Lepisosteus oculatus: one gene and its partners. The protein of the gene in region 1 purifies or fractionates together with the protein of each later gene. This does not show direct contact. Links are inferred from orthologs where the notes say so. Each region holds a gene or a part of one and is shown on either strand. Other genes may lie near its edges. The genes, in order: fgfr1a, CD44 antigen-like and ribosomal protein S6 kinase alpha-3.

Region 1 (9,897 bases):
TCTCCTGGCGTACGACAAGCTGTGTGACAGAAGAAGAAGGAATACCTTGTGGGCTGAAGTAGGCAATGCGTTTATCAGTTAATGGCCCCGTTTCAAATATGGAAGCTCGTTTTTTACGTGTGCTACCATTGCAGTACTCACTTCTTACTAACTTTTTCTTTTTAGAAAGATGCTGCTTGGGGATGTTGAGATGCTGCCGGGACAGCTAACTTATCCTTTCCTCTTTCTCCTGAGCCTGAACAGTGTTGCTCTGGCAAGTGTGCACAACTTAATGACCACCGAAGGAAACATTAAAACAGGAGGGCACACATGTGGCTACATCACTAAAGGACTTAGAGCAATACTGTGCTGTAGAGTTAAGAGAACACTGGTTCAAACTGTATGCCATTAGCCAGCTGGGACCATATCCCCATGTGCTGGGGTCAAGTTAATCAGGAATTCATAGGCAGACTATGGTTTCCTGTACAAGACATATGGCCTCCTAAAGAACAGGAAAAACTGAGTTTCCAGTCTCCCTTTAAGTATGCAGTATTATTAGAGAGAGCTGCATCCAAACTTTACTGTCTGAGAGAGCTTCCAACATGTTAGATGCCCCCTGGCCTCCAGGCCAGCCAGTCCCCTCCGCAGTCTTTTAGTAGTGCCCCATGCCCCTCTAAGTTCCCTGTACTGTGTTAACAAATCAAGCAGTTCCAGCATCTAGCCAGGTAAAAACACTTGCTCAGGGGGTCCACAACAGGCAATAACTCCATTAGAGCTTCACTGACGCACTGGCGAATAAAAAGATGTCATTAAACACTCAGGGCACCAGGCAGGGGTGTGCCATCTGCAACATTCTTCTGTTACCTCCGGACCGTATACAGAGGAAAGTCTGGATGACCATCACCCCCAGTGCCTTCCCCACCTCTCTCTCTCATGCTGCTCATTAGCCAGCCTTGGGCTGTTTCACACCTCATTGCTACCTCTATTTGCTGCAGTATTTGCTGATAAGCCCTCTTTAGTAAGTCAATGGGACCCATTCAGAACATTCTGTCTGCTTTCCAGGGCAACAGGGCAGATGGCAATGGACAATTAAAGACATTTATTTAAGCTTTTTTGGCGTTTCGGAAAATGGCTGTAAGCAAATACTTCTATTCTTTGAAGGAAATGTATATGTGGCTAGAAATAATTTCTTCTTCAGATGAGAAGCTTGTAACATGTTCATGTTTTTCAAGATGGTTTACTGGTCCCTGTTGATTTATTTTTGCAGACCTACAAACTACTCATAGTTCTCTGGGCTCTGAACAGCTGCCCCCACACCAGAGGAAACTAAATGCAATTTGTGTGTAAATGAAGTGTTAAACGTGCCTTAGAAATGTATTCCATTAGTACTTTATGTGTTATAAATTTTCTTTGGAAAGTGTTTTCTGGTGTTTTTTTAACGATTTTCAATTAATATTTGGATTTTCTGCCTTAAATTACAAAGCAGTGCATGTAGAACTATGAACCAGTCAAAGAGGGCTTTATTACTTATGTTTTTATATTAGTAATATTTATAATGTAACTGTGGTAGATTGCAGAAATGTGTGCTGACATTTGTAAACAGCATTTCTTTCTTTGCACAGTGACTGGTCCCTGAAGATTCCATATTCTTTTTTTACCTAACTTTTTAAATTGCTAGTTATTTTTTATTATTATATTTATCAATTTTAGAATCTCCAGTTGTGTGTTTTTCACGTCTGGACTCGTGACTACGACCTCTGACACTGCACGCTTGTAAGAATGAGGGGGCGCAGTCAGACTCCTCCACACAGCTCGCCGTTGAGTCCCCTGTCTTTACCACGTCACAGGCACCCAAAGGTCACTGCTGGTTGGAGGACAACTGCATCCCTCGCTGGCAGCGTCCGCTAACCTGTCCGTCGTTATGTTTGCCAAGAGCCGGGGGAGCCCAGACTCATTAATCCCACCCTATCCTGAACTGCGCACAGACCTCACGTATCTCTTGTCTGGGTGACGGTGACGTCAAGCTCTGTTGACATCAAATTCCCTGAAGCTAAATAGTGACAAAACAGAACTTTTACTGGGGGGCAGTTAATGCCTCCTGGAGAGCTTCACAGTTATCACGGACAGCTTATCCGTTCAGGCATCAGCCTTACTCTGGAAACTGGGAGTCGCACTTGGGCCTCTCCTGACTTTGGCTCCGCACGTGAAAAATTAGACTAATATTTTCACCTAAGCAATATTGCCTGCATTAGATCATTTCTATCAGTGTCCGATTGCTGAGGGCCCGATTCATGCATTTATACCATCGAGGCTTGATTTCTGCCACTGTTTACTCTATGGGCTCCCTAACACTCTTCTCAGTGAGCTCCAATAAGCCCAAAACTCTGCAGCTAGACCTCTAAGTCACACCAGATCTCGGCAGCATATCACTCCTACACTTAAATCTCTACATTGGTCGCCTTTAAAATGATGTATTAAATATGAGATCTTCTAACTTTGAAGGCTTTAAACAATCTGGCACCATCTTACATCTCTGAGCTCCTCCATGTTTACACTCCTGTAGGCTTTGGTCTGTTGAGGCTGGTCCTTTGCTCACTGTACTCAGGACTAAATCTCTCACTATTGGTGACCGTGCCTTTTCTGTTGCAGCTCCATCTATATCTATATCTATATCTATATCTATATCTATATCTATATCTATATCTATCTATATCTATATCTATATCTATATCTGATTGCACTACAGTCAGATTATTGTGTATGTTCTTGTTTTAATGTCTTGAAAGCCACTTTATAAATAAAAGGAAGAATAATGGATGGTTTAAATGCCTTCTTCTTCTTAGGTGAGCAGGATAGTTTATAAGGAAGAAGTAGAGGTTCATACATGCTGAAAAGAGAAGAAAAGAAAGACAACTTTTTGGCTCTGGACTCTATTATAGGTGTGAACTAATTGAACTACTTAAGGCCAGGATAGTTTATAGCTCAGGATAGTTTCCAACTTCTAATAAGCAAAAAAAAAAAAGAATTTGCTGTCCTTTCTTATGCAACCTCTTTCCCCTTCACATGTACAGTATTTCATCCTGCAGTTTGGTGACATTCCTCTCCTTGACACTCTTTTGTTGATTATTTTATTTAGTATATTTTATGCACAGTATAATACGCTTAATGAGAAATAATTTTACCATGCGTAATAAAACTGTAATTTTCCTATTATATAGGTGTGACTTTAAAATATGCTATATATAACGTCATAAAAATATTTAAATTATAGAATTACACACATAATATATCCTTCAATATAAAAGATATGTTTAAATATATAAGTGCTCTTGAAGGATAAAATAACTTGGCTACATCTGGCTGTGATGAAGGTCTGTAAAACGAGTCCTGTCTAGTATCAGTCACTCTAATAAAACATCTGGCAGAGGCGCACATACATCAAAACGTATTGAGAGCACAGGAAGACTGCATTTGGGGTTATTATCTGGATTTAGTCATATTTTAAAAGGCATGTGGTAGTGTCTGGAGTTTCACGTTTCAATTTATAATAAATACTTTAAAGCATGCGGACAATGCGTGCCACTACCTGTTCGAAACGGAGAAGAAATTCACGTCAAATACAACGTATACCACAGAGGTATGGTGCTTCATAATAGCAATGCTAGCACGATCGAAGGGAACGGGTTAAAAAACTTAATCCACAGATTAAGGTTCTTATCTAAATGTAAACCCCAGTTTAGGCTTTTTTTATCTGTACTTTAGACTTGGTCTGAATTTTCAAAGTGAAAATTTTACTTATACATAGGCCTGGTATCGCTAAGAGTCAATGTATATTAAATTGAATTGAATTGTACGTGTGCATCATCTCATCTTGATGTACGACTGTTGCAGTCGACCTCTTGTAAACTGTGCAAAACAGCCTTGGACCGTTTAAAAATAATGAACTCGATGAGGCAAGTAATTAAACAGAGCCACTGACACAAACTATTACGGAGCCGTTTAGCGTGGTTAATAACTGAAAAAAGGTTAACCTCTGTTAATACAATTATTAAACATCGCCGGGTGGTATTATAATTATTAAACATCGTCAGGTGGTATAAATATAGCATACTTGATATGTTTATCTTTGTGGTTCATCAAAGATTAGGCACCCGAGATGCCTGACATGATTGTAAGATTCGAATAATACGAAATGAATGTGTTCATTCAACCTTGTTTCATATAATGCTAATTTTATCTGAGTAGCCTGGGTTACTGAACGGAACTGGCTTCCTGTAACGGTTTTTGTTTAATCAAGTTATCAAGTAAATTAAGTTTCGATCAACAAATTCGTTGAACCTGTCGCCCTCGGCCTCAGCTGTGTTGTTTGCAAAACCGACCGATGCTCAGCTGCTTTTTTAAGACGTTTCTGGTTTTAACACAAAAGTATGAATGGAGTTTTATTCTGTTCTATTATTCTGTTGTTGCGCCGAAGTAGTTTTTAGTGACAGAACATACCATATTCAGTGAGAAAGTACATACAATTTTTAGTAAGAATATATACAGTTCCTTACCCTCTGTATATTTAACACGGTGGCGTTGCCATCCCGTATTTGACCCTTATGTTGCTTTAACTACATTTTTAACTACATTCATACACATTTTTGAAAAGGGTGGAGCTTCAGCAATGCCAAATAGAACAACATTTTCAGAGAGATGTTGATAAAAAATGGTCAATCTTTTATAGAACGTCTTTTTATACAATACTTAAAATGCAGTCTAATTCCTTTGATGTCAAGATGCACGAGATTATGCTGTCTGTATCAGCATTACAGTACTGTATTTCACGAAGAGCAGTTTCATACAACCACATCCGATAAGTTAGTTTCTATAATATTTAAGATTATTAATGACATTTCAAACAAACTCCACGGTGGCGCAGTGGGTTAGCATAGCTGCATTTCCCCGCTGGGGCCCTGGGTTCATTTCCAGACGTGCGGTACTGTCTGTGTGGGGTTTGCGTATTTCCCCCGTGTTCATACATCTAGCTGGACATGTGATAAGAAGAAAAATCAAGAAGATAACTTCAATCTAAATTACAGAGGTCTGTGAGAACACAGGTAACAAAACTCACTATAATTAAGATGTAAACAACATTTGTGAGCCTACTTCTTCATATTATGGACGTGAGAAAAGTATTATAGAAACGAAAAACGTGGATACTTCGCAGTTCGTCGCTGAACGAATCACCATGCGCAGGGTTTGGGTCATATACTGAGTGTATATGCCGAATAGTTCGGCAGTATTGACATGTTGGTTTACTTTTCCGCTAAAAACTACATATCCCAGAATGCCAAGCAGAGGGGGTTGAGTCTCACTTGGGCATGGAGGTGTTGGAGGATGGCTCGGAGGCAGGTTAGCTCAGTCGATGTGATTATGTATTCTCCGTATGATGGTAGGGGGCAGGTTTCCATTAGTTCGGCTCTTGTTGTTTCTGGAGCGTTTGAACAGTAGGGGGGAGGTCGCAGACAATCTGCGATGTGAATGAGTTCGGAGGAGCGAACGAAATAAGGAGATACAGCGTATTTAGACACGGGGCTGAATCATCAAGCTTTTATGTATCAAAATTCATTTGACTTTCAGCCTGAGTAGCTCAGGAGCTGATAGGAGCCTATCTCAGACGCTGTCTTAAAAAGTTATCTGGAAGACGGTTATCTTTGTGGGAATCTGGCTTCTTTCAAACAATAAAGAAGTGGAGCGCAGTTTTTTTTCTCCTTCACGTTATCACCACAAAAAAAGGTGCACGGCGTTTCATGAGCTTCTGCGAAGATTACTTTTCCCTCTCCAAACTTTGCGTATTTACCAGCTGATTTATAGGGGGGAAATACGATATTTTCTCCTGTTAACAGAAACTCGTAGTTTGGCTGTTCCGCGGCTTTGCTGTGATCTAATCTCAAGAAGTTTTTTTTTAACCTATGATCTGAGCTCTGATTTTCAGGAGAAGAAAGCTACTTGTCGATTCGTCTGGTTCTCCTTCCCCGGTATTTGCTAATTAACTTTGCGGAAGGCATTTGCTTTTTTTGGTACATACCAAGCCAGTTGTTTGGTACTGGATCTACAATAATGCAAACTTTCTAACGTCTTATAAGGATTCAGTTTCTTCTCCGTGAGAATCCCGGCGGCGCATCGTCTTGGAACTACTTGGCAAAAAAGGTAATTATTTTTGGAACTATAACTGAGTGAGAAAATATCTAATTCTAATTCTGATGTCAAGAATTTGTCAAAATCCGTAAGTTTTCATAATTTTATGAGCAATTTTTAAACACAAACTCAAAATACAAAGGATATTTCTGCCCCGGTCCAACATATGATTTTTATGTAATTCTGCAGTTTCACACGTTTTAAGAAATAGTGCGAATATAATGTGTTTCGTAAATATTCCCGTAAGATGCACGGAATTTTTTGAGTCTCAGTGGTTTTCGTATGCTTTGTAGCCTGAAGCTAATATTCTTGGAAAAAAAAGAGTTCTTGTGTTTTGGCTAATGTCCATCAATGCCAGATGTAGAACGCGTAATGAAACAGAACGTGCACTGCTTATTTAAGTGGTATAAATGGTTTTAGAAAGAAATTCTGGACTCCACAGTACCTATTTAGTTAAACCCGTAAAAGAAATGCAGTCATGACATCCAGCCTAAGAATTAATCTTGGTTAACACAGGAAAAGTGTTAGCGGGTGACCGGACTGTTGGTATTCCCTGAGGTGAGAGATACTTAACACGTTAAATTCGAAAAACGAATGCCCGTCAATAGCCTTGTCTAAAGTAAATGCAATTTAAAAACCAAACGCTGTTACGTTCTAGTGATACATCGCGATTTGTTGGTACGGAAGACAAAATACTGGGAATTGGAACTCATTTGGTTCAAAACGAGTGTCGACTAAGCGCGTTTGGACAACCCGTTTAATTTTTATTGCGAGCAGGGGGTTCATTGTGCCGTGTTTAACTTTCGTTGAAATGATCTGGCATATCGAGGTATCGCCGGCAACGAATGAGTTTTTTAAAGGCCAGTTTAACGGGAAAGTCTTTTTTGGGGGAGGGAGGGGGATGCCTAAGACGTTTCAGAGCCAGAAAGAATCATGGAAAATAGCAGTCAGGTTTTTGGCTCGCGGGACGGTTAACTAAAGAAGGGATTGAATTGGAAACTTTTTTTTTTCCCCTAGCTTGATCTCAGAACTGCGTTTCTCTCGATATCCCCCGTGACGCTGAGTGAAGCGCCTGGCCTTTTGGCTTTTGTATCCATTTGTTCCAGGCGGATCACAGGCATTTCACACGTTGCCTTGTGGACCAGCGTGGTGTCAGTCGCTCGCCTGAGGAGTCCCAACACTTGTTGCGTTTGGTCACTTGAAGGCACAGGGCTCTAGCAGAAGTGGGGGGTGGGGGTTATGAAGGCAGTACTGGGCTAGTAAGTCATTTAATTTAATTTTTGTTAGTATGTTAATTCTAACAGCGCCTCAGCCCTCACGAATGACTATTACAGCGGGCCGTTTCCCTCCACATTTAACGAGTAGTAGAAGATGGATTTTACAGAAGCGCGTCAGCACTGTAACGCTTCTACTGTTAAAACTGAAAACTATCGCCGGAGGGTCTGTTTACCTACTAATGTTTTATCTCTTAGTTTTTTTTTCTTTCTATAAGGATTAAACGAGGAGGAAATGTTGTAAAAAGGGCTTACTAACGTAACTCTAAGGGGGCAATGACCAAAACGTGCCCTGAAGAAAACAGTGAAAAGGCGCTTTGACCCGAGTGAGCTAAATATGAGTGACCAACGCCGACAGGGCCTGTATTACAAACAGATGACCAAAACACTCTTGATGTACCCTTGTTGTGTAAACACTGCATATCAATTTATGATATGTTGAAATCGCAAGCAAAGCCTGGTCCATTACACGGATTTCGATCCCTTTTAAGTGTAAGAGCAGTATCAAGGTGTAATTCTTAAGCGTTTACTGTTAAGATATTGAAATCTCTAAGACTGTCAATGATGACCTTATCTGTTTTGTTTTGTACGGTATTATAACAACGCGTCGTGAGTCTGACGTGACAAGTAGCGCGTCTTTTACCAGGTTTCTGGCGAACTTTCTGGTGGTTTTCAGTAGATTTCGTGGGGGAGGGGACGGGGGTTTGAAACTGAATGACGCACCGAAAAAGGGTCGAACCCAGGCATGGTAATGGGACACCTTTATTATTTTTAAAACTAGACGTTTACAGTGTTGATGATCTGAGCACGTATGTACCTGATACCTTACCAAAAGAGAGCCTATGTTATATTTTAACTTCAAGTCCTTTCCATTTGTGTTCATATGTCCATTGGAATCACTAACTGTATCAGTTTTCAAAATGTTTTCTACTACAGGGTCTTAGTGAGACACTGAGCATTCACACACAACTTAAGTTGAATAATCTGTTGTCATGCTCACAACCAATGATGTAAAGCTTTAAAGGAAACCTTCAAGAAAAGTTACCGCGAAGGGTTTTATAAAAGTCTTCACATGCAGTTTTTTCTCCGTTTCCTTTTTTAACTGAAGTCTTTTTGAAGAACAATCATTTCTGTGCATATCAGTTCCTTTTTACGGTACTGTTCTGTGCAGGAGAGATCTGCCTGGAAAAGTCCTTTGGCTTGGCGGGACTTAATGACCTGGACAGGTTTCTGAGGATTTTTTTACCATCATGTTTCTCAGTTTTCCAGTAAGCACAGGACAAGGACTTGTTTTAATGACAGTCGACATAGGTTTTAGGTTGAGATAGAGGCATTTTAACAACTGTACTGCCTCACGTTACTTTTATTTGTAAGGGCACGTCCGCACACGCAGCAACTCGCCTAAAGCTAGGCTTTTAGGGGAAAAGGTTTATGCAGAGATGACAGATTTTGGTGTTTTAAAACTGAAGTGTCCAAGTTATTGTTCCTCCTTTTATAGATATTGTAGCTGAGCGTTTCTTTTTGGAATGCAGGATACAATTTGACGGTAATAACCTCACAAAATTACTTAAAAGTAACAACCACGTGCTTTTGTCTAAGCTGAATTTCAGGTGAAGAGGGCGACGTTTGTAATTATTTCAAAGTGAGCAACCTAATGACTAAATAGCCACGGCTGAGTTACATTTTGAAGTATTTTGCCGTGTTTGTCGGGTGAAATTTATTTTTAACAAGCGCACTTGACTGAGGTGCACAATGTGTGTGACGTTCTTTGATCCAGTCTCCGGGTAATAGAGCTGTGGAAGGGAATGTGTAACGCGTTTTTCTTTCCTCTTCGGACATCTTTTAGCTCTTTGGATTATTGCGTCCGTTCAGTTTGTTTGGCGAGCGACTTTGTCGTCAACGCGCCCGGCCGATCTGTGAGGCAGATAGCGCAAGACCTTGCACGCTGCACACGGTTTACAAATAATTCTGATAAGAACTTACTAGACAGCAAATACCTGTTGACGACAGACATTTTTTTTATGTATGAACAGAATTCAGAATCGTTTCTAAGCGATTTGTTGCGTTGCGAAAGGTTCTTGAAAACCAGCTGCAGGGCGTTTGTTTTGAATTTCCAGGCATCAAAGAAGCCGATTCACCTGGCCAGAGGGGAAAGAGACTCTTCACACTTAGCCTTGCTTGTTTTCTAAGCACGTAAAAACACGATTTCTAGTAAGCCAAAGTTTGTTTTTGTCTGCTTTAGTCTTATAGGTAAAATAGATCTATAGATTGTCTCAAAGTTGAAACTTTTCACAAAAATATTCAACGGTATTCTGGCAAAAGTACGATGGTTTCAAAACTGAATCATAATTTTCACATTTCTTTTCTCGCATAGGGCTATTGAAATGTAATTTGTTGTTGCCAGTGTTTACCTTAGATTGCAGTGATAAATCTTCAGAAGTTTTTTTTCCTACGATTTTACAAG
Region 2 (10,426 bases), on another chromosome or scaffold:
AGAAGTGCAAACATTCACATGCAGGTACAACAAAGGGATCTAGTACAGCTGTTTCCAAACAGGCTTTTTTCTATAAAGAGATAGAGAGCACAGAATAGTTCTCTTGGTGAGGTCAGTCTCTTGGTGAAAACAGTTGGTGAGTTGGCTCTGTAGTTGACAGTTCAGTGCTCACCTGTTGACTCTGGGTTTAATAAATACAATATGGTCAATTATTATGGTGTTTGCCACCATTTTCTCTCTCAGTGTATCAATACAGTGGATCACTCAATGAACTCAACTACTCAACCAAGGAAGTGGGAGCTCTCAGGTAGACTTATGGGCAGAAGGAACCCATTCAGGCTTTGACAAAACGGGAAACAGATAGGCAAAGTGCGTTGTGACCCAGATGAGGGTGGGACAGTGCTTGTGGAACACCTGGGGTCGCGGCCCAGCCTCTTCCCTGGCCCAGAGATTCCTTGTGCAGTTATATTCTAAGGGTGTAAACGGTGCAGAGAATCAATTAGCAGGCATGGTTTTTCAACTACCACACCACAGGGGGACCTGCCACAGAGACCCAGCTGAAATCATTGTTGTTCTGGCTATGAAGGACAAAAGTATCACCTGTAGTCCTAAGTAGTCCTGTGCTTCAGATCCACTGTAAATACCTTTCACATGATGCTCAGTGGTAGGTTTCATTTCACTAGAATTATTCTTATGGAAATAAACAGAAAAATATAAAACAGGCACATGTTTCTAAAAATATACATGCATTAATTGAATCCTGCTTAAATCAGCTAAATAATGAAATGCTAAATTAAACAATGCACATTTATACAGTTTAAAGTAAGAGTACTTTCACAGTACAGTATATAAGTTTCATTTTAAAAATAACCATCTCCACATAAACTAATTATTTTTTAATCCACACCTACTCTCTTTAGTATGCAGATTCAAAAGATATGGCTGCATTTGCACTGAGGTAGAATGAGGGATGTGAAAAATGAAGAATAAAAAGAGGAGATCTAAAAGCTGAGACAGGAGCAGGTAGGGCTCAGTAACAAAAGCCACAGCATTGAATCAATCACAATGCAAACAGGATGTTCTCTTTGCTTTTGCCACAGTTATTTTAAAAAGCTGTTGCTAGGATGATGACAGAGAAAGGCAGTTGAGCCAGAATGATTTCTGTCTGTTCCTTGTGCGCTATATTAGGTGTATAAACTAGCTGCCTAATTTTACCGTCTTGTATGTCAGTAATTACTTCATTGATTACTTACTCGTTTTATCAAAATTCTATTTAAGATCACTCTATTGCCTATTCTAGTTTACCAAAACTATCGCCGTGAGTATTTTAAATCACTTAGAAGAAGATTTACTCAAACATTAGGACCTGAAAATGTGCAAAAGGACAGGCTCTAGAAAGTGGCATAGAGATACTATTTTACAGTATTGATTTATTTTTAAATGTAAGGCCTTTAAGTATTTTATAAAATCCTGGTTACTCTCTGGTTTCCTTTTCAACTCTGGTTTCAACTTTTAGAACATTTGTATAGGAGTAGTTTAGGACAGCTAACCAGTCCTATTCCAAAATGTCAACTGAAAGGTCCGTTGCGCGTTCTTGGGTAGACGAGAAAAGAGAGAAAATGAAAAGGTCAGTATGTAACACTAGGACTCCATTTCAGAACCAAACCAGAGACCCTGTGACATAACATAGTACTGTATACTGTTTAGTGCACTAGACTATGTCCCTCCTATTCACATCATTTGGTCTTAGGGTCAAGCACTTTTTCAAATAATAGAACATGACTCTCAAAATGTAAAAACTTTGCAATTAAAAATTATTCCAAAATTTTCAGTGAGGATAGGGTTCATGAAAGAAGAGCCATGCTGTTATATAGTAATTACAGGATCATGCTTTTCTTGTTTCAGTAATTGACTTAGTTTTTAATGAAGCCAATGTATTCCCCAGAGAAGCCATGTGCAGTAACCTGCCACTTGTGTCACTTAGTGTTTCATTTCATGTCAATATCTCTCTCTACCTGAAATAATGCTCCCCTCATACATAGACTCATTGTACTCACATTGAAAGCAAAGCAGACACTCTAATAGAAATATGCCTGGGATATTCAATGCATTTCTATTTCCAGAATGCATGACATGCTTTGCAGTTGGCTTGAAATTTAATGTTTGATTTCACTTCTTTGCAGGACAAAATATTCTTTGCAATACAGGACAAGAAGGGCTTTGATAATTAATATGATTATTTAACACATTGTGTTTAATAGAAAGGTGAAGTACACTTTACCTTCAATGACATTTTGCTCAAGAAATGAATATTATAAATATAAGACATGCAACAGTAAACTCGGGTTTGTATTTATCCTTGTCTCTCCTTGTCTCCTTGACTATGTCAGGAATTTGATATATCAGTAATGATGGAGTACTCAATCTCGAAGAAAAAAAGAGTTCAAGGGGACCTGATTCAAAATCTTGGAGAGTGCTGGAAAGTCAAGCCAGTGGACTTCTTTTAAATCAGCTATGACACTTAAAACAGATGACACAGATGGAAACTAATGGAAAAATCAAATTTAAAAAAACCCGTAAGTCTTTTACAGAAAGGGTTGTGGTTTTCTGGAACAAGTTATCCAGTCATGTTACTGAAATCCAATTGTGTTGCTTCTTTCACAAAGAATCTGGATGACATCCTTGGATCTATAAGCTACATCTAGTTAGATATTTGGTACTGAATTATCTCTTCTTATTTGCCAACTTTCTTATGTTGTGTGTCTTTATTTTAAATAGCCTTACCTATTATATTGTCTTATACGTCTGCACTTTACTTGATGAATTACTTAATTCATCCTTAAAATGACACCCAAACTAAATAAAAGAGGCAAAAAAACAAAAGAGAAATACAAAAGTATAAAATACACAGAGAAAATACAAAACAGACCTTGACCAGCTCTGCATTGTTCAGTCTCAGATTTCTGGAACTCTATCTGTGTGATGACAATAATACCCACTCCATTTAGACTAAATGTCTTCACTTGAAAGTGATAAGAGTTAATGAAGCACATTAAGTAAGTATTGCCTTGGTAGGAATGCCTAGAGGTCTTGACTATTATTGTGCCACCCAAAGCCTTAGTGATTCCACCTAGAAATGCATTAGTTTGCCAAGATTGGAGATTGGGGACAATGAGTGTTTTTAAATTGACCATAAATCTACATACAGTAACTATAACAAAGGGCTAATGGTTCACCTTGACCATGTTGGCATTCAAATGCAAAGAGCTTCATTGCTATGACAGATGAATCATGGTATTGACAAAGAGTAACAATTTACACAACATTAACAGACATTTCCAGTAAAAATGTTTTAATGAAAATCCCACTCTCTGATCCTCAGGCTGTGCCAGAAGACCACGTACTGGGCTGCCAGCTCTATTCAGTTTTCCCCCTCCTTTCCCAGAAGAATTGGAAGCTGTCCTGATTCTAGAAGGAGTGTTATTTCTGGGATTAAAATAATTATTTTAGGGAAATTCCTCATGAAACCCTCAGCGATTATAACTCACACTCTTACAATTTCCAGGCAATCCTTAATAATTACATGTACAGTATTTCAAAACAGGAGATCAAGTAATATGCATTACGCCATTTTCCCTTACAATGCTAGAGTGGTTTGTTTACAGTAAATATTAATCAAAATAAAAGACTTTCCTGAATCTCTGGCACACTGGGATCGATTAGCCAATGGGTCAAATGCTGGGTTTACAGTTTCTAACATCACCTTCTGGTGGTCCAGATTTTTCTTTTCCTTAGAATCACGTTTTTAACAGATTAAAGTGTTCTGGCTTGCTTTAAACAATTCTCTTTCACACTTTTAAAATACAAGTCTGTGAAAGTCATTCTTGAACTGGAAGAAAGCCAGTTTGAATGTTATGTGAAGGTGATCTGCACAGACATAAAAAAGTAGACAACCATCTTCTGGGATTACAGATGTTTACACACCGGACGGGTAATAAATAATTGACTTCATTTGTATTTATAGATGTTTTCCACCAATAGTGGATGTCATTACGAGGAGCCACAGAGGAAGACTAAAGAATCCTCTCTTAGTGGAGAGGTGCTGTATCTTGTGAAATGTTTTTAAGTTTGTGTCATTTACGCATATAATCTCCAGCAATGGGGGGGACTCAAGCAGTTTAAAGAAATATTCACAGTCTTAAAATCACAGGCAGCTGTTGAAGATCCTAAATCATACTGGCAAAGTCAACACAATCTTTAGGATGAGCACTGAAAAATTGACCCAGGCTATTCTTGTGAAGGGCTGGGTAACCAAATCAAGCTCCTCAGTCAGCATAAGTGGTTACTGAAGGTAACGTGAAAAAGTCATAATTTTTTTGTTTTAAATTTATTTTTGTGTTTGATTCTGACCATGACATTGTTCTTTAATATCACGTTTTAGGTGACAATTTTTTTTTCAATCTGGTGACTCTAACATGACTCTTTCTTTCCACTGCCTGGAACTCAGCCTTGTAGCTGCCAACTGCTACAGTACATGTACATGATAATCTGTATCCAGGTGGCCTGTAACAGACCCAGGGTCTGGAGTTTGTTAAACTCCAGAAGATGTACTTAGATTTTAGACCAAGTTAATAACCCTCTTATCAGTGCCTCCCAGGATAAAATACCTAAAGACTAAAGGACAATCCAGAACCTTCTTTTTCCACATCATCATGGTCAGTCATGGTGTCTTGGATCCACAGTGATTTAATTTCTCTATTGGGGAATTTGTTTTTTTTCTCTCTTCCAAACCCAATGACCTACTACTTTAAGTGTACATATAAAATCTGATCAAATTTATTAAATGTGCTTTTGTTTTTGGTTTCTACTAAGTGGAATCTCTGCCTCTTTTATTTTTCAGGTATCTGCTTCTGATAGTGATGGTTAACTAGTGTGTAAACATCTCAAAAAGCTATTAATGATCAACACAAAATTAAATCAACTACCTTATCAGACTTGCTAGTTCTGTGAATGGATAATAAATATAGTGTGAGAAAAAGACAAATACTTTTAGATGTTATTTACAACTAACACATAAATCTCACACATAAAATACAAGTGCTTAGGCAATCCCTATGGTGTGAATTTAGGTACTGTATAAGTCTGTTGTATTAAGGTGTAGTACTGTTTGTGAACTTCCAAGTACTTACAATCCACAGTTGTGCTAAAAGCCTCCGTCTGTATCTTTTTGAAACTCATTTAGAGATGGCAGAAAATGCAGAGGTACCAGTCATTTGTCTGAAAGCTGAATTTATTCTATTCCTAAATGTTTTGTGGTATTCTTATATCACTGTGACTTACTGTAGCTTATTAAATAGTTAATACTGTATTCTTTCTATAAATGATGAAGTGACACCCAATGTACAGCCACAATAAAAAGCACGTAGCACACAGGAGCAGGTTGAATATCATCAGGGTACAGAAACGGCACTAAAGGAGGTGTTGTACAACACAGGAGGAAGGATCAATAATCTACAGGAGTCATCCTGTTTGATGAAAGGGGTCCAGAAGGAGGGAGATGTGGAATGCTTGCAGTTTTCCAGATTTCATTCATTCACACTCTGTGAATGGATGACTATTTCAACTGAGATCACTGTAAAAATAATTGAGGACGCTGGTTTAAGACAGGAAGTGATCGCTAATCAAAATCTGAGTATGAAATCCAAACCATGCAAATGTATTTACTGTATCTCACTTGGACCTTGAACACATCAAGCTGTGAGTAATTTAAAGTTCAATGTCTCAGCTCATATGGTCAAATTTGGTGAATTGAGAGTGATTAAATTGCCCCAGATACTACTCTCTTCAATAACTACTTGATGAAAACAAAGCAAAGAGATTAAATCCGGTCCTTAAAGTAAACATAACAGGGGGAGGGGCTGACAAGTAAAGGAGAAAAAGAAAGAAAAGAATGGGTGAAGTTTTGAACTGCACAGGGCGAGGTGTTTGACCAGGATGACACTCTGTTATACACCATGTGATAGAGAGGGAGGGGGAGTGGGAGGGAGAAATGGAGGGAGGGAGAGAGAGCACCTTTTTGAGAGGACTCCTTTTGTCTGGGTAACATAAATGTGTTGCTACCAGGGCAGGAGAGAGCTGGGGAGAAAAAAGGGTGTGAACGTACCAGCCTCCTCCCTTCACATGTGTCACTGGCTGAGTTAAGTCCCTTCTCACACAGAGAATATAAAAAAAAAGTTCAGTGAAAGTCTCCAGCGGCTTCACAGCTACAGACCGACACAGTCACTCAGACAGCTCAGTGCTCTCTCACTTGTTGGAGACAAGAGGAGAAAAAATGTTTTGGACCTGCTTGCTCTTTCTGGCTTATGGATTAATTGTCTTTCCCAGTTCTGTGAAGACACAAGGTAAGCCATTTTGCTTTTATTTTTTTTTTCTATTTGGAATTTAAATGCTTTGGGCTTTTGTGTGGAGAGCTGGGTGTCTTAAAGCAGGGATGCTGTGACAAAAAGCATGGATTCTACTGCTTAAAAGGGAATGAATGAGAACTGCAAGGCATCAGCTACATAGACATTCTCAGTGGCGCTCAGATATCTGTTGCTGTGCTTGTGTTGGTGCCAGGCTGGCTTTAGTTATGCCTTTGATGTGTCCAGGTTTGCCAGGGACTGGAAACAAAAGGGATTTTTCTGAGGGTAGTTCATTCGAATATTAAATAGCCAATTTATCATTGTCACTCAGTTTATAGCATTTTTATGTTCCAGTATTCAGCAGGTTCGGGGACAGAGCTGCTGAAGTGTTCATACCTGCCTTAGCAATACAAAGACATATAGCATTTCATTTGTTTCCTTTCGAGTATTGAGCGCAGATAGAATTTGGTACCAAAAATCAAACAGGTTGGTTTGATTTTTTCTTCAGCGCCACAGCATCCAGACTGGCAGAGGGCTCACTGTATTGGCCACTGGAATGGTGCCAAGGTTTACTTGTCTTAAGCAGTGATTTTTGGACGGTGGAGGGATGGGGAGGCATCTCATTGAAATTCCTAATGGAATTTACATTTGTTTGGCATTTTAATGCCCAATGAGCTCTGCTGGGATTTCAGCTACTATCTAAAGAGGTCATTGATACAAAAGTCCAGCTGGCTTTCCTTTCCATTAAATGGCAGAGATTTGGATGTTTAAAAAGAAGAATCAGGAGGTGCTGACAATAATCTCCTGGACATTTTGGTTTTGAACTCCAGTGAGGCTGTACTTCATTGCTCACACAATGGAAAAAAAGGTTTCTGCATCTCCAGAGTCACTGTTTTTTTAGACTGAACTTCACTTCTTGAATGAGCTGGTTCAGTTTAGAAATGCTTTCAGAAATTAAAAATGTCTTTGAAAGGTAAATGACTTAGGAGATCAAAGTGTGAATTTCACAAAACTTCCAATGGACATCTCCTGAATACACATTCTAAACCTGATAGATTTTCTAATATTGGTATTAGTAATGTTGGTGCTGTAACCCAGACAGAATACTCATCTACTGTAAGTGATTTTATTGTTGCTTTGGTCACAAGGCACCCAAAATAGCCTGTTTCCACTCAAAAATTATGGTTTTATTTTACTGATGCTTTTTTTCAAGTCACTTTGTATTTTTACCCATTTATAGCACTTTAAATTTATTTTAATTTAGTGTAGTACCTTACTCAGCAGTTAAATAGTAGTGCCCCACCAAGAATATGAATCAACATCCTTCCCAATATGTGTTCTGAGCCCTAACCTAATCACTACTCCACACTGAAGTGTGAGAAACTAGGTCTAAAGTCTTTTACAATTAGTCATCAATCTTGTCCAATCTCATACCTGTACTCAAACAAAGAATATATTACTTTCTCGATAAAAAGAAAGTGTTTTTTTTTCTCTGTGGTTCACCCGGTGAATCACACTACACAAAACAGGCCAAAACAGGTAGGTACGACTCCTAAATGGCCAAAGCTACCAACACTTTTCCATTATGTCAGACTTTGGAAAAGGGAATAATGAAAAGACAAAACATAGAACGAAAAACAATCACATTTTCTGAGAAGTGTTTCAATACTGTTTGTGGAAAATGTTTTTGGGTTGCTCTGCACAGTTACAAAATTTAAGTGAACATTGTGAAAACATTTTGGTTCTACAAATTCCCCTCCATTTCCTGGGTAGTACTATGTTTTCTGCAAAAATAGTACCTTATCACTACATAATCAATCACACTGAGCCTAATGCCTTATATTTTTCTTTCTTTTGTGTTGTCTTAACTTATCGCCTTTTATGTTGTTTTAAGCGTCTTTTGAATTAGAAATTAGAAGCCATGTGTTAATGTGGAAATGAGAAGAAGTAATTATATCAACTTATATTCAGCATTTCTACTTCAAACACCACCGTCTATATCCAACACACAATACTTGCATCACAATGTTAAAGTCAACACATTCTGTACTAACTTGTTTATGCAATATTCAACACAAATTCACCGAGATGTTTTCTGTGTTCCCAATCTGTATTTCAAAGATGTATTTGTATGTAGGTTCAGTTGTATGAAAACATACTATAACTGTTGGCTATGAACTGTTGAGAAGTGAATCTTAATCCAAACCTATTTCAATGACTGTCTTATGGAAATCCTTGGAAAGACAAAAAATAGGAGCATCAGGTGCTTTACCTAAAAAGATTCAATGTCCAGCACTTTTGACAGACAAGGTGAAAGTACAAATTCTGGAGAAGGAAAGATGTTTGAAAGCCGCTCATTGGGCAGGTCTGTGGCACAACAGCTATCCATGACCTGAATGGGTTGTCTCTTTCCAAGCTTGTGTACCATTCTGTGTGGAGCTCTGCTGAATTTCGGAAGCATTGCCTCACAAGTCACAGTGTCCTGTTGATCATACATGGTTTAATGTTGTTATTATTATAGTAGTGGTTATGGTATAATTATTAGTTCTATTATATGTAGATACAGAGGTGTGGCATTGGTGCATTAATATTTTTTGTACACTGCTTTGAAAGCAATTAATCTGGAACATCTCAATAAGATCATATGACTAGTATTGTTCACAACCATTACGGAGTTCAAAGGATATTACCTCCGAGTACTGATCAGCTTGTGGATGCTTAGTCTGTGGAAAATGGGGAAGTACTGCATGTATGAGTAAATATGCAACATGCTCTGAAAGTTATGGTTGTTTCACTATATCACCTATAGTGAATAGCAACATCATTAGTTATCATCAGGAGCCTCAGTTCAATTCTGGTAAATGTTGTGGTGAAAAAAAATAAACATGAAGATGTAGGCTCAGAATAAGTCTGTTAATGAGCAATTTGTGGAGAATACTTGTGTAGTATGTCAGAAATATGTGTGTACACAGGATATCATATGTGCTGAAGAGCATTCTTTGTCAATTTCCATTTGAGTATACCAATCTTATAAAACAGCCAGAATCCAAAGGCAAGGTTCTTGCATTTTGTTAGACACTGCTTGCTGAGAGCTCACATTTCAAGGTGCTTTTTTTCTAAGTGCCTAGCCAAGGTAACAAAGCAGACTTTAGGAAAATCACCAGTAGCTGAGTCATTCCTCATGAAAGCAACATACACACATTCGCTTGGTAGTCTGAAACCACATAAATGACCCACTCTAACAGAATTCCTAAAATCCTGTGCATTAGATTTTAAGCTCTTTTTTGGTTTACGGTCTCGTATTTCTTGCTTCTCTTGATTAAAGATTCTGATCTCCCTTCAAATGGACTGAGATGAAAAAATCTCTTTCATGTTCTTATCCATAAATTCCATTAAGTGTACTGCAACATTTAGAATTTTTCTTTAATGCCTCTCTTCACTTCATCCTCACAAACATTTTTAAAATGCTGCTTTATAGAATCTTAAAGACAAATACTTAATGCACATTAAGCATCAAGAGGCTTTGTATTATCAATCTGTGCTGTGCACATGAAATGCTAGACTGTCTTCTGGTTAATTCTCAAGTTTAAGCACTGTACTGTATGTGGTAATATTATTCTCACCAATAACCTAACATTGTACGGCCTTGTCAAGAAAAGTAATTTTGTCAAAATGTTACATTCATAAGACATTCAAATGTTATATACATAAGACCTCAGAAAGCCTCACATTTATATTCCTTTAATTGTCTTTGGATATCCTCACACATTTAAAAGAATACAAAATGACCCTGTTATGGCTATCAAATTAAAATATACATAGATATATAAACTTTTTGATATAATGTGTTATCAATCACTTCCACTGGGTTGTTGTGGCTGGTTGATAAAAATAAAATAATATCAAACTTTGTTCTGGGAGAACATGCCTTTGTAATGGCAAAGGTGATCCTTGGAAGCTCAGTGCAGGGCAGGCTAACCCATTTTAAGGAATTATAAAGATAATGCTGCATGTCATTAAAGAAT
Region 3 (9,490 bases), on another chromosome or scaffold:
CTGTCGCTTTGTTTACACCGTGGACTTTCATTTTCTCCTCGTGGAGAACTCGGTTGGCAGGGGAGGTGGATTGATGCTGCAGAGGTGACAGCCGGCGCCGGTTGAGTCCAGCGCCTGAGCAGACGCACCGGATGGTTAGGGCTCAGCATGGAGGAATAGGAAAGTGGGTTGGGCGCCCCCTTTTGTGGCACGCACGGTCCAGCTGTTTCTGGTGCAGCTGGGTTGACTTGGGTCAGTGATTTGTGAGTGTTTGAGTTGGGTCCCCGTCGTAGTCATCTCTGTCCAAGACTAAACTCCTTCGGCCTGTCAGAGGCGAACGCTCTCTGTGGGGCCACGGGTGTATCTGGTTGCTCTTCCCTGGTCTGGTTCCAGAGCAACACTATCTCCCATGCCCGGGTTGTGTTTCAGTGCCTCTGGGCAGACGTTTCAGAGTTGTGATGTTAAGGTTTCCTCCGGGAACTCGGGCTAGAGACCCGCGGCTCGCCTGGGGGCTGGTGGAACCATCTGGTTCAGCACTCCCGCGGGGCACGGCTGCAGCCATTTCAGTGGGCATAAAAGAACTGCTCACATGGGCTCACCGTTCTGCTTAGCAGCGTTTTTATTCTGTCGGGGCTTTCTCGCGTGTCCTGAAAATGTCGGAAGTCAGCTGAGGTCAGCGTGTCGGTAGTCCGCTCCCTCTGACTGCAGCAGCTCTTTTCAACAGTCGTTTTCTGTCACACCTTTTGGCTTTTCCAGTAGTCTCAATTTGCATTTGGCAGGTTTTTACAGGAGCCCTTTAAAACATCAGTTTCTAAAGGCGTGGAACAACTTGATCAAATAAACAGGTGGTTCATTCAGTTCAGTCATTCAGAGATCATTGGGAGAAAACATCAGCTCTCAAGGATCAGTGTTCCCTTCGTTGATACTTCACTTGCTTGACTGATCAACTGCCTAAATAAGTGTCCCTAATCCTTATCAGGTCATTTAAACTGACCTGCAGGAATAATGGAATTGGGACCAGGGTTGGGGACTCCTCGTCTGTACAGAATATGCAAATTCTTCAATCCTCCCCTGAAGCTGTTGATTGTGGAAGATGTACTACTGTAGCTTCCTGCATGCCTGCCTGTGCAGAGAGGCACGTCTGTACGAGTTCTGAGCCCAGCCTGTCATCACTTCAAGAGAACAGAGCTCATGCGGGGGGCCTCAGGGTGGGCTTTCCTGTGTGGCTCCTTTTTACCAGGTGATTGCTGGTCCCTCGTTTTCCTGAGCCGAAGGATGTCTGCATCGCACATCTCTACTTCCTCTTGGAAGGGCAGTCACAGCAGAGTTCAAAATGCAGCTGCTTTTTGGCCATATTCTTTCTTCTTTGGTTGTATTGCCCAGATATTCTTTGTCCTGTGCTGGGTCACTTTTTTTTTTAATTGAAAAAAGCAATTGTAGTCTCATGTTCTACCCTGCGTATCGGGCATCGCAGGCCATGGTACAGAATTTTGAAACAGCATGAGATAGGTCACGACCCGGATGTTATTGACGTATGCTGTATTGGAAAGATGCCGTTTTAAAGAACATTTTCAGCTTTACCGGTTTGAGCTGCAATTCGTTTTAAAATTCCATAAACAGGAAGCAGAACAGCTGGTCCTGGCAGAGATGAGGTCTGTCTGTTACATATTCTGTGATCTGTGAGTCTCGATGCCTAACGAGGTAGAGAGAGACAGGTAAACGATCCTGCTTCTGTCTTTCTGCAGGACCATCTGCCGACAGAAGAAACTATTTTTTTAAACAACAAAACAAGATTTGGAAGCACGTTTTAGTGTATTGTTTTTGCAAGCATGTCAGTTTAGGTGCGTTATTCTGTGTGAATCCCAGTCCCTATCAGGGTAACTTGGTGAATAATTTCATGAACCGACCATGCGATAAAGTTTTGAATTGAACCTTTCTTGTGCACTTGACTAACAACATGCAATGCCCTCTGTCAGCTCCCAGAATAAATGTTTCTTCTTAAAACAGAAAACACACTCTGGCATGACGTTTTATTGTGCAGAGGGTGGTCCATTCCTGCCTGTTGCTCGAATGGGTTCTGACATGTCTTTAGCGGAGTAAGAGAACTAATCTTCCCAGTCTGACACTTGCTCTGAAAATGATTAGCCCAAGGTCACTTCTCGTCAGTAGCTTGGCTGCACTTCAATAAACGCCTCAGGGCTGCCAGCCTGCCTCTGTTAAGGCTGTAGTCCAGTCTCCTGAGTCTTTCTGGGCCTGTCACCGGTTCCATCAGCAACTGCTCTTGGGGTGACAGGAGACTGTAGCAGGATCTCCTCTGAATCCGCTGTGCCTCATGGTTGAGACTTTGATCCAATCAGCATCGTTGACATTGTTGAGTGCTCCAGAAAGGTCAGAGGTCAGACACATTTGTTCTTACTGGACTTTTTCTGGAGGAGGAGAGTTGCAACTGCTAGCAATTTTCCCTTTTGCGTCATTTCCTAGGGATGATTGTTAGTGATCAAGAAGTATCAGAAGAGCAGTCAGGGTTGTTGTGGAGATGCATCTAGTTTTTATTGGCAGCTGAGTTTTTGGAGGAAAGGTTTCATTTGAACTGGTTTCCCCCCACAGGCCAAAAACATATTGGTAGCTTAACTGGCTTCTAGAAGAATTTGCTCTGGTCCGAGTGCGTATGTGTCTCTGTTCATGTTTGCGTGTGCCCTAGAATAGACTGGCATCACATCCTGAACCTTGAGCCCATTGCTTGTGGAGTTAGGCTTCATCGACCCTGAATTGGATGAAACGGGATGGGTGGATGGTCTCATTAGAAAATAAGCTACATAAGGGATTCAGGAGACAAACCAACTGTCCTGGCAGTTCTCTGGCATGGAGCAGTGTCGATGGGTCAGGGCTGGAGTCTGAGCTGCTGAATTTCCAAAGTACTTGCATTTTGCCTGGTCTACAGGAAGGATCCTGCAAATTCTGTTCCGACTTCTAGACAGGGTGACGTCTAGTGAAAGTGAAACCTCCTGAGGCCAAAGGCCAGCTCTCCTCACTGCGTCACAGGTTTCCCTTACTGACCACATGCAGGCTGAGACCTGCCGAGACGAGCACCTCCCCCCCCCCCCCCCCACTGCCTGAAGCAGAGTCTCTTTTTAACACTCCAGATTTATTTTGTGTGTCTGATCGCACCAGCGCCAAGAGCCGACGCGACTGCGTGACACACGCTGACATTTCGCTTAGACGTTCACATGCTGCATTCGAGCCTTGTCTCCGAGACCAGACGTGTGATCCCAGGAAAGATCGGAGGCATCTGTTGTGTTACTGTTGTGTTTCGCAGCAGCGGCCCTTCGGAGATGTCGTTGTTTTGCGGGTGGGTTTGTTTATCCGTCGCCTCTCCGGCTTTTGTGCAAGGCTTGAACGTTCCTCGGAGAGCAGCCTTTTTAATTGAATTAGCACTTAGCCGCTCTGTCGCGGAGAGGGATCGGTGAGCGCCGCGTGTGCGTGGCGGAGCGGGTCCGCGCCTCTCACTTCTCCTCTCCGCTTCCCGGCCAGGCCACACATCCTGGTGCGTCTGCTGCGCTCTGCCCTGGCAACTTCCCCTCCTCGCGCGGGAGACGGGCTCCTGCCTCTCTGATGGCAGCATGCTTGCGCTGCTGACAGAATGCAAACCGTATAGGCTGTCTCTGGGACTGCAGAGGATGGACAGGAGTGTTGTCGTCGCCTCTCTGTGCTCCTCGTGTGAATATCAGGTACTGTGCTTCTGCCAGAGGTCTTCTCTGCTCGGCGTCGTAGATGAGTTTCCGTGCGTGTCCAGGTTTTTTTTCTTTCCGTAGAGCCAATTACTGTAAGGTGCGGTATCTGAAGTAAGGGTCAGTGTTTTTTTTTAGATTAATATTTAGCTCCCACGAGGAGCAGCCTGTGTTCGCTGAGCGATTTCCCACATAAGATACTCGTTTGTGATTAACCCTTCACCGGTTCTGTGCTGTTACCCTGTGCGTGGCTCTTTTATCATGAGCGCTGTACAGTGGGTTGAGTCTAACAGACTTCTCATTTTTATGATTGAAATGTGGCCTGCTCTCCCGGGGATTAGTTTCACATTTACAATATGCATCTGTCCTAAATTGACTTCTTCCACATTCTCAAGGTTCAGCTTGACAAAGATGAGCTTTGCCTATTGTAAGGCTCCCTTCTGGAGTCAGATATCCATTTCCATTTATTGGGGAAAAATCTCATCGCTGAGGATGAACCTCTGAGAGCCTAGTTTAACGAGTGTAGTTCCTGGTTGTTTCTCGTAAGAGTCATTCATGCGCAGCGCACTGATCTGCAAACTCTTTCTGACGCGAGAAATGTCTCCTGCTCGTGCTGAGCATCTACAGATCACACCTTTTGAGAGAGAGACAAGTGTTTTGAGATTCTGTGCTTTTGTCAGTGTTCTGCTCACACAAGTCTCTTATCTCAGTACCACTAAGAGCCCTATAGTATCGGCTTCCTGATTCCGAAGGCATGCAGATGCCGAGATCTCCAGGTTTTTAGCCTTTTCCTCGGGGTTAGTATCTTTGTAGTTATTTGTCAAGGCTGCGTCGTACCTTTTGAAGTCGAAGCGTGTATAAAAAAAAGTTCCGGTGGCAGTGGGGGGGGGGCATTGTGTGTCTGATGAGGAAAGTGTGCAGCGTGACTCAGTGCTGTAGCTGTACGAGTGCAGTTTCGGACTTGGAGGTTTTCCCAGCGCAGGCGGGTGGCAGAAGGGAGACAGGAAGAGGAGGGGAAGCAGGAGAAGGCACAGCGAAGAGTTAACGAGAGAGAGAGAGAAGCGAAGGGCCCTCTTCCTTAGTCACCTCCTCCACTCCCACCTGCTGATGCCTGCGAGAGGGGTAGCATGGCAACAGTGTGGGAGCTGTCAAACGCGATCCTCCCCTGCCTGCAGGACTGCACACATCGCCGCCACAGCTCGCTGCCTCCATTACAGGCAATGGAGGATTCGGCCGCGCCGCCGGGCCCGCGCCGCCCGGGCTGTCCCGCTTCCTAGCCCCGCTCTCCTGCTGCCCCCCGGGGGCTGGGTGCTGATGGGCATGGGTGATGCTGTGGCACAGAGCAGCTCGCGGGGCAAGACAAAGCCGTGGGACGGCGGGACGGCCTATCACGTATGTGGGGGCGTGTGGGAGCGCCCGTGGTTGTTGGGGCGGGGTTCCTGGAGGGGGGGAGAGGGGAGAGGGGAGAGGAGGTAGGGCAGCACGTGCGAGGCTCGTCAGGCCTTCCTATTCCTGCTTTCCTCCCACCTGCTTTTAACACCGAAACGCGCTGGGCTGCCTTGAGCCGGGAGCTCACCCTGCCTTCTCTTCCCTGACTGTCGTCCAGGACGAGGGGCACGTCAAGGAGATTGCCATCACCCACCACGTCAAGGAGGGCCACGAGAAGGCCGACCCGCGGCAGTTTGAGCTGAGGAAGGTGCTGGGCCAAGGCTCTTTCGGGAAGGTGAGTGTGTGGGGGGGCGGCGGGGAGTGGGCTGGATGTGGTTTTAGAGAGAAACGCTTTGAGGACCGAATGCGTGTCTTGCAAGTGCACGCAGTACACCCTTTTATTTTTACTGCCTTTTTCAGGGACAGATAGGTTTCAGTTGAGGGATCTAGTCATGCACAGACCTGGTAATGGCGGGTACTCGATGGCCCTCAGAGACCACCCTGTGAGCAATCAGAAATAGATTAAGTGTGAGCATTGTTTACAAATCATTTCAACCATTGGACATGTGCAAGGGAATTGAGTAGGATTTTCAAAAATGTTCTTGTCAATTGCTTTGTTTGGATATGTGTTACAGCCTTTAAGGCTGGATGGGTGGCATGCATGTGACCCTTGACTGATTTTAGCTGTGCCCTCCACTGCTGTAGTGTGAGCTGTGTGATGAGCATGGAGATGAGCATTCTCAGCTAGTGGGGGCATATGGTAGTTAATATGACTAGGAACAAGTAAAGGTTTATTCCATGCTGAAAAGAGAAGAAACAAAACGCAAAGTTTCAGCTGTGGAGCCTTCTTCGGGTGTCAGTATTATTAGTCTTTCTTGGCTGGTGATAGCCATGCATGCCTCGTGTACGTTTTTCAGGCAGTGTGAGGTTTTTGCAATTGGACCTCTTCTTGTTTGTGCCGAGCTGAGTCCTGGGGCATCTGTTTACTTGCGTCTGGTGTCCTGAGCCCAGATCAGGGATCAGAACATCCTATTTGCACTGTTGCAGCTAACTCTGCGGATTTGCCTTTTAAAGCGTGCGTGCTTCGGCAGGAATTCGGCAAGCATGCAGCGCTAATGGCTGGCCCACAGTGGCGTCTCTGTCTCTGCTCTCTGGAGCTGAAAGGGCCCTTTATTCCAGGAGCATCACCCCGTGTCCTGCCTGCCTTGTCAGGGGGCCTGTGCTCGGATGAGAACTCATTAGCTGATGCACCAGTGGAGCGCGGATATGCAAGGTGAAGGGCATTGTCTCGGGGTGCTCCTCTGTGCCGTGTGGGTTCCCACCAAGTTCTCATGGGCCCTCCGGCGGTGACCTTAGTGCTGGTAATGACCTCTGAGCTCCACTGCCCCTCAAAGCCCTTCTCCTCTGCCGCCCAGCCTGGAGAACCCATCTAGGCCAATTTGTCTGACTCTCCGAACGATATTATTAATCAGCTGATAGCATCCAGTGCTCCTGTACACTGGTCTACTGGGGCTGCTGTGTGAGAGAACCTAGTCCAGCCTCGAGGACGTCAAGTGCTGAAAGAAGGACTCCCCACCCCACTTAGGCCATCTCTGCTGTGTCTTGTAACTTCTGGACTTGTCCACCACAGGTATTCCTTGTGAAGAAGATCACGGGCCCTGATGCTGGACAGCTTTATGCTATGAAGGTGCTTAAGAAGGCAACACTTAAAGGTAAATGTTTTCTTACTGTCAGAAATCCACTCATCTTGTCTGAGACACAGTCATGTCATGGTATAAGCAAGCAATGCTCTAAACTTATATTAATTGATGAAGTTACAATTCAGTGTCCTGAATTGTGTCCTCAGTGTTTTTGAATCCAGAGTTTTAAAGCAAGGCCAGACTGTTCAGGCCTTTAGTGCTGATGTATGCAATTTACGTGATCCAATATATCTTACCCTGTTGAGGCTGATGTGTTTTTCTTCAGAATAATGAGCATTTAATTTGTTTGTTTCTGAGGTTTTTAATCGGCATTTCAAACTTTTAAATATTGTTGTGGCAGCCTTTATAAGTATGGTATGGTAAGTCATTCACATAGAAAAAGGGTACAGAATTGTACACCTCAATTGTGGCAGCTTTCAACAAAAAAGCTGCAATGCCTCTACATTTATAATTTGATCTTTGTTCTGGATGTTATACCTCCTGTTAGCAATATTAAGCCTCTCAGTGCCCAAGGAACTGTTTCGGGTGTTTACTTTTTGACTACAGACTGATGTCAGCCCGATCCTCACAGCGTGACGGTGTATTTGTAGGACTCACTGCACATCTCCAGGCCAGTGCACACACATGCCTACAGTGCTGTCTTTGTGCACAGCTCTTTGTTTCTGGTCATTATTAACATCATTTCTCAGGGCAACACCCCCTCTGTTTATACATTGTGTGTCTGAAATAAAGCCTTGTCCCATATGTGGCCTCCTTTTCCCAGGCCTTTAATGTTTGAAATGACAGGAAGCTGCTTGAACTAGAACCTCTCAGACAGATTAATTATAGACTCCTGTAAGACAGAATGTTACTTCCTGTCTTGGTATTTGCCACAGTGTTGCCACAAGTCTTAATAGATATTGTGCTTGTGTCTGTGACTCTTCTTAATGCCTGATTGCATCCATAATTGCCTGATCACAACTCCAGATGGAAAGAGCCTTTCTTCTCCCAGTCTCTCCTTAGTGTTGCTAAGTACTCTTTGGAATCGAGCACAGCTTCCACTGTGGAGCGGTTTGGTCCTTTTTTGTGTTTAAGAACCGAAATCTCGTGCTAATTACACTAGCAAAGCAGAAATGCAGTGTGTTGGAAGTCAGCTGAATGTCGATCATTAATGTCATGTTCAAAGGAACAAAGAAAGTGTTTTTTTTTGGCTTCTGCAAGAGTTTGCAGTTGCTGTGTCCCCCGAAATGAATTATATCTCTGTTACTCCATTCACTACTAAGTTGTTCTGCTGATGTTTTTATCCAAACCTGCTTAAATTATACCCGTAAATACAGCTGGGCATTTTACTGGAGCGGTCTGATGGAAAGACCCTGGCCAAACATAAAACACTTGGGATCTGCCCCTCCAAGCTGCTGCCATCTTGGCACAGTTTAGAAAAGCTGTGGAGAGTTTCCTGCTTCGGGGCTGGATAGCCTCCACATGCTTTTTCTTTGTCCCCTGGTTTCTGGATGTCTCTTCTGGCCATGCCGAAGGAAAGTGCTGATGCAGACAGCAGTGAGCTCTGCTTCAGAATCTTTGACACAGCGGAGTCTGGGAATCGCTCTGAATCGGAACAGCTCGTAAACAGCCGGAGCCACAGCAGTCTGCGTCTGGCCTTAAATTGCTCTCTGTACTCATTTATTGTCAGATCATTAAGGTTAATCAACATCGGTGAATGCAGTGTCACTAGCAATGCAGCATGGTGTTTATTCCTTTCGCAGTACAGCGCTGCCCTTTAGAGGGGTCAAGACAGAGATGGAAGGAATTCCCTTCCGGCTTCATAAAGCACGTAAAAGCACTTAATATAAGAGTCTGTTTTCAGCAGCTCTGGGTTTGAGAGTGGCGTATTCTGCTCTTCTGCTGTGTGCTAGGTTTAGCAGTGAAACAATAGGCTTCAGCAGAGATTTGGCGTCTTTTATACCATAGAGTGACACAAAACACAGAGGCATCCCGATCGTCCCTAGGTACCAAAGAGACCAAAGACGGAGGGCAAGAGGGGAGGGTTGTCTTTTCTTACAGTCATTGAGTTGATGTTTTCAAACAGGCTGTTTCATAGTGAGCACCCCCAGAGAAGGTGACATAATCCAATAGGTTCCATCTTTTGTGAAAATAACAGCCGTTGAAGGGCAGTCTGGACCGGGCCCTAATGTGACACTGCCGTGCTAGTATCCCCTACCTGGTTTTAAGTCTCAAGCCTGTTTCGCTTTAAAAACCTGTTCAGCATCCTGTCCTCATAAAGCCATGTAAGCCATGACTGGCCATAGATTCTGTGAATGCTGCCACTTTGAATGGCACTGTGAGGACTGACAGCAATTTGGACACATTGAACAGATGCCTGTGCCAGTATTCTACCCAATTTATAAATAATTTGACTGGTTCTCAAGCTGCATCATCCGTGCCATCACAAAATCTTTTTTATAAAATAAACCAAGTGGTCTAAATATGTGTGTTGAATACTAATGAAACTGGCATATTTGAGGAAAAAACCTGCTAATAATTTGCTTGAATATGGAATGCCGTTCTCTTTACATCAGAAAATTGCCTCATGATCAGTGGCTGGATATCCAAAATAGTCTTTTAAAAAATAAAGTTCTGCAGCTTTTAATTCAAGATTTTTTGTCAGGTTTAGACACC

Evidence for each region.
Region 2: the proteins of fgfr1a (region 1) and CD44 antigen-like purify together in Homo sapiens (affinity purification with mass spectrometry; 3 studies listed by BioGRID and IntAct, counting the BioPlex papers as one, with this or other methods). This does not show direct contact. The link is inferred for Lepisosteus oculatus from reciprocal best matches to the Homo sapiens genes FGFR1 and CD44.
Region 3: the proteins of fgfr1a (region 1) and ribosomal protein S6 kinase alpha-3 purify together in Homo sapiens (affinity purification with mass spectrometry; 4 studies listed by BioGRID and IntAct, with this or other methods). This does not show direct contact. The link is inferred for Lepisosteus oculatus from reciprocal best matches to the Homo sapiens genes FGFR1 and RPS6KA3.

The regions. Positions count from the first base shown.
Region 1 is NC_090697.1:72,340,691-72,350,587, reverse strand, and holds the start of fgfr1a (fibroblast growth factor receptor 1-A), read left to right. Parts: upstream 1-5,356; 5' UTR 5,357-5,373; intron 5,374-5,400; exon of another isoform or gene 5,401-6,107; 5' UTR 6,108-6,171; intron 6,172-8,123; exon of another isoform or gene 8,124-8,181; intron 8,182-9,897. UniProt on the Homo sapiens protein: Tyrosine-protein kinase that acts as a cell-surface receptor for fibroblast growth factors and plays an essential role in the regulation of embryonic development, cell proliferation, differentiation and migration.
Region 2 is NC_090716.1:14,172,981-14,183,406, reverse strand, and holds the start of CD44 antigen-like, read left to right. Parts: upstream 1-6,074; 5' UTR 6,075-6,331; coding exon 6,332-6,401; intron 6,402-10,426. UniProt on the Homo sapiens protein: Cell-surface receptor that plays a role in cell-cell interactions, cell adhesion and migration, helping them to sense and respond to changes in the tissue microenvironment.
Region 3 is NC_090700.1:4,619,500-4,628,989, reverse strand, and holds the start of ribosomal protein S6 kinase alpha-3, read left to right. Parts: upstream 1-4,620; 5' UTR 4,621-4,814; coding exon 4,815-5,099; intron 5,100-5,313; coding exon 5,314-5,430; intron 5,431-6,765; coding exon 6,766-6,847; intron 6,848-9,490. UniProt on the Homo sapiens protein: Serine/threonine-protein kinase that acts downstream of ERK (MAPK1/ERK2 and MAPK3/ERK1) signaling and mediates mitogenic and stress-induced activation of the transcription factors CREB1, ETV1/ER81 and NR4A1/NUR77, regulates translation through RPS6 and EIF4B phosphorylation, and mediates cellular proliferation, survival, and differentiation by modulating mTOR signaling and repressing pro-apoptotic function of BAD and DAPK1.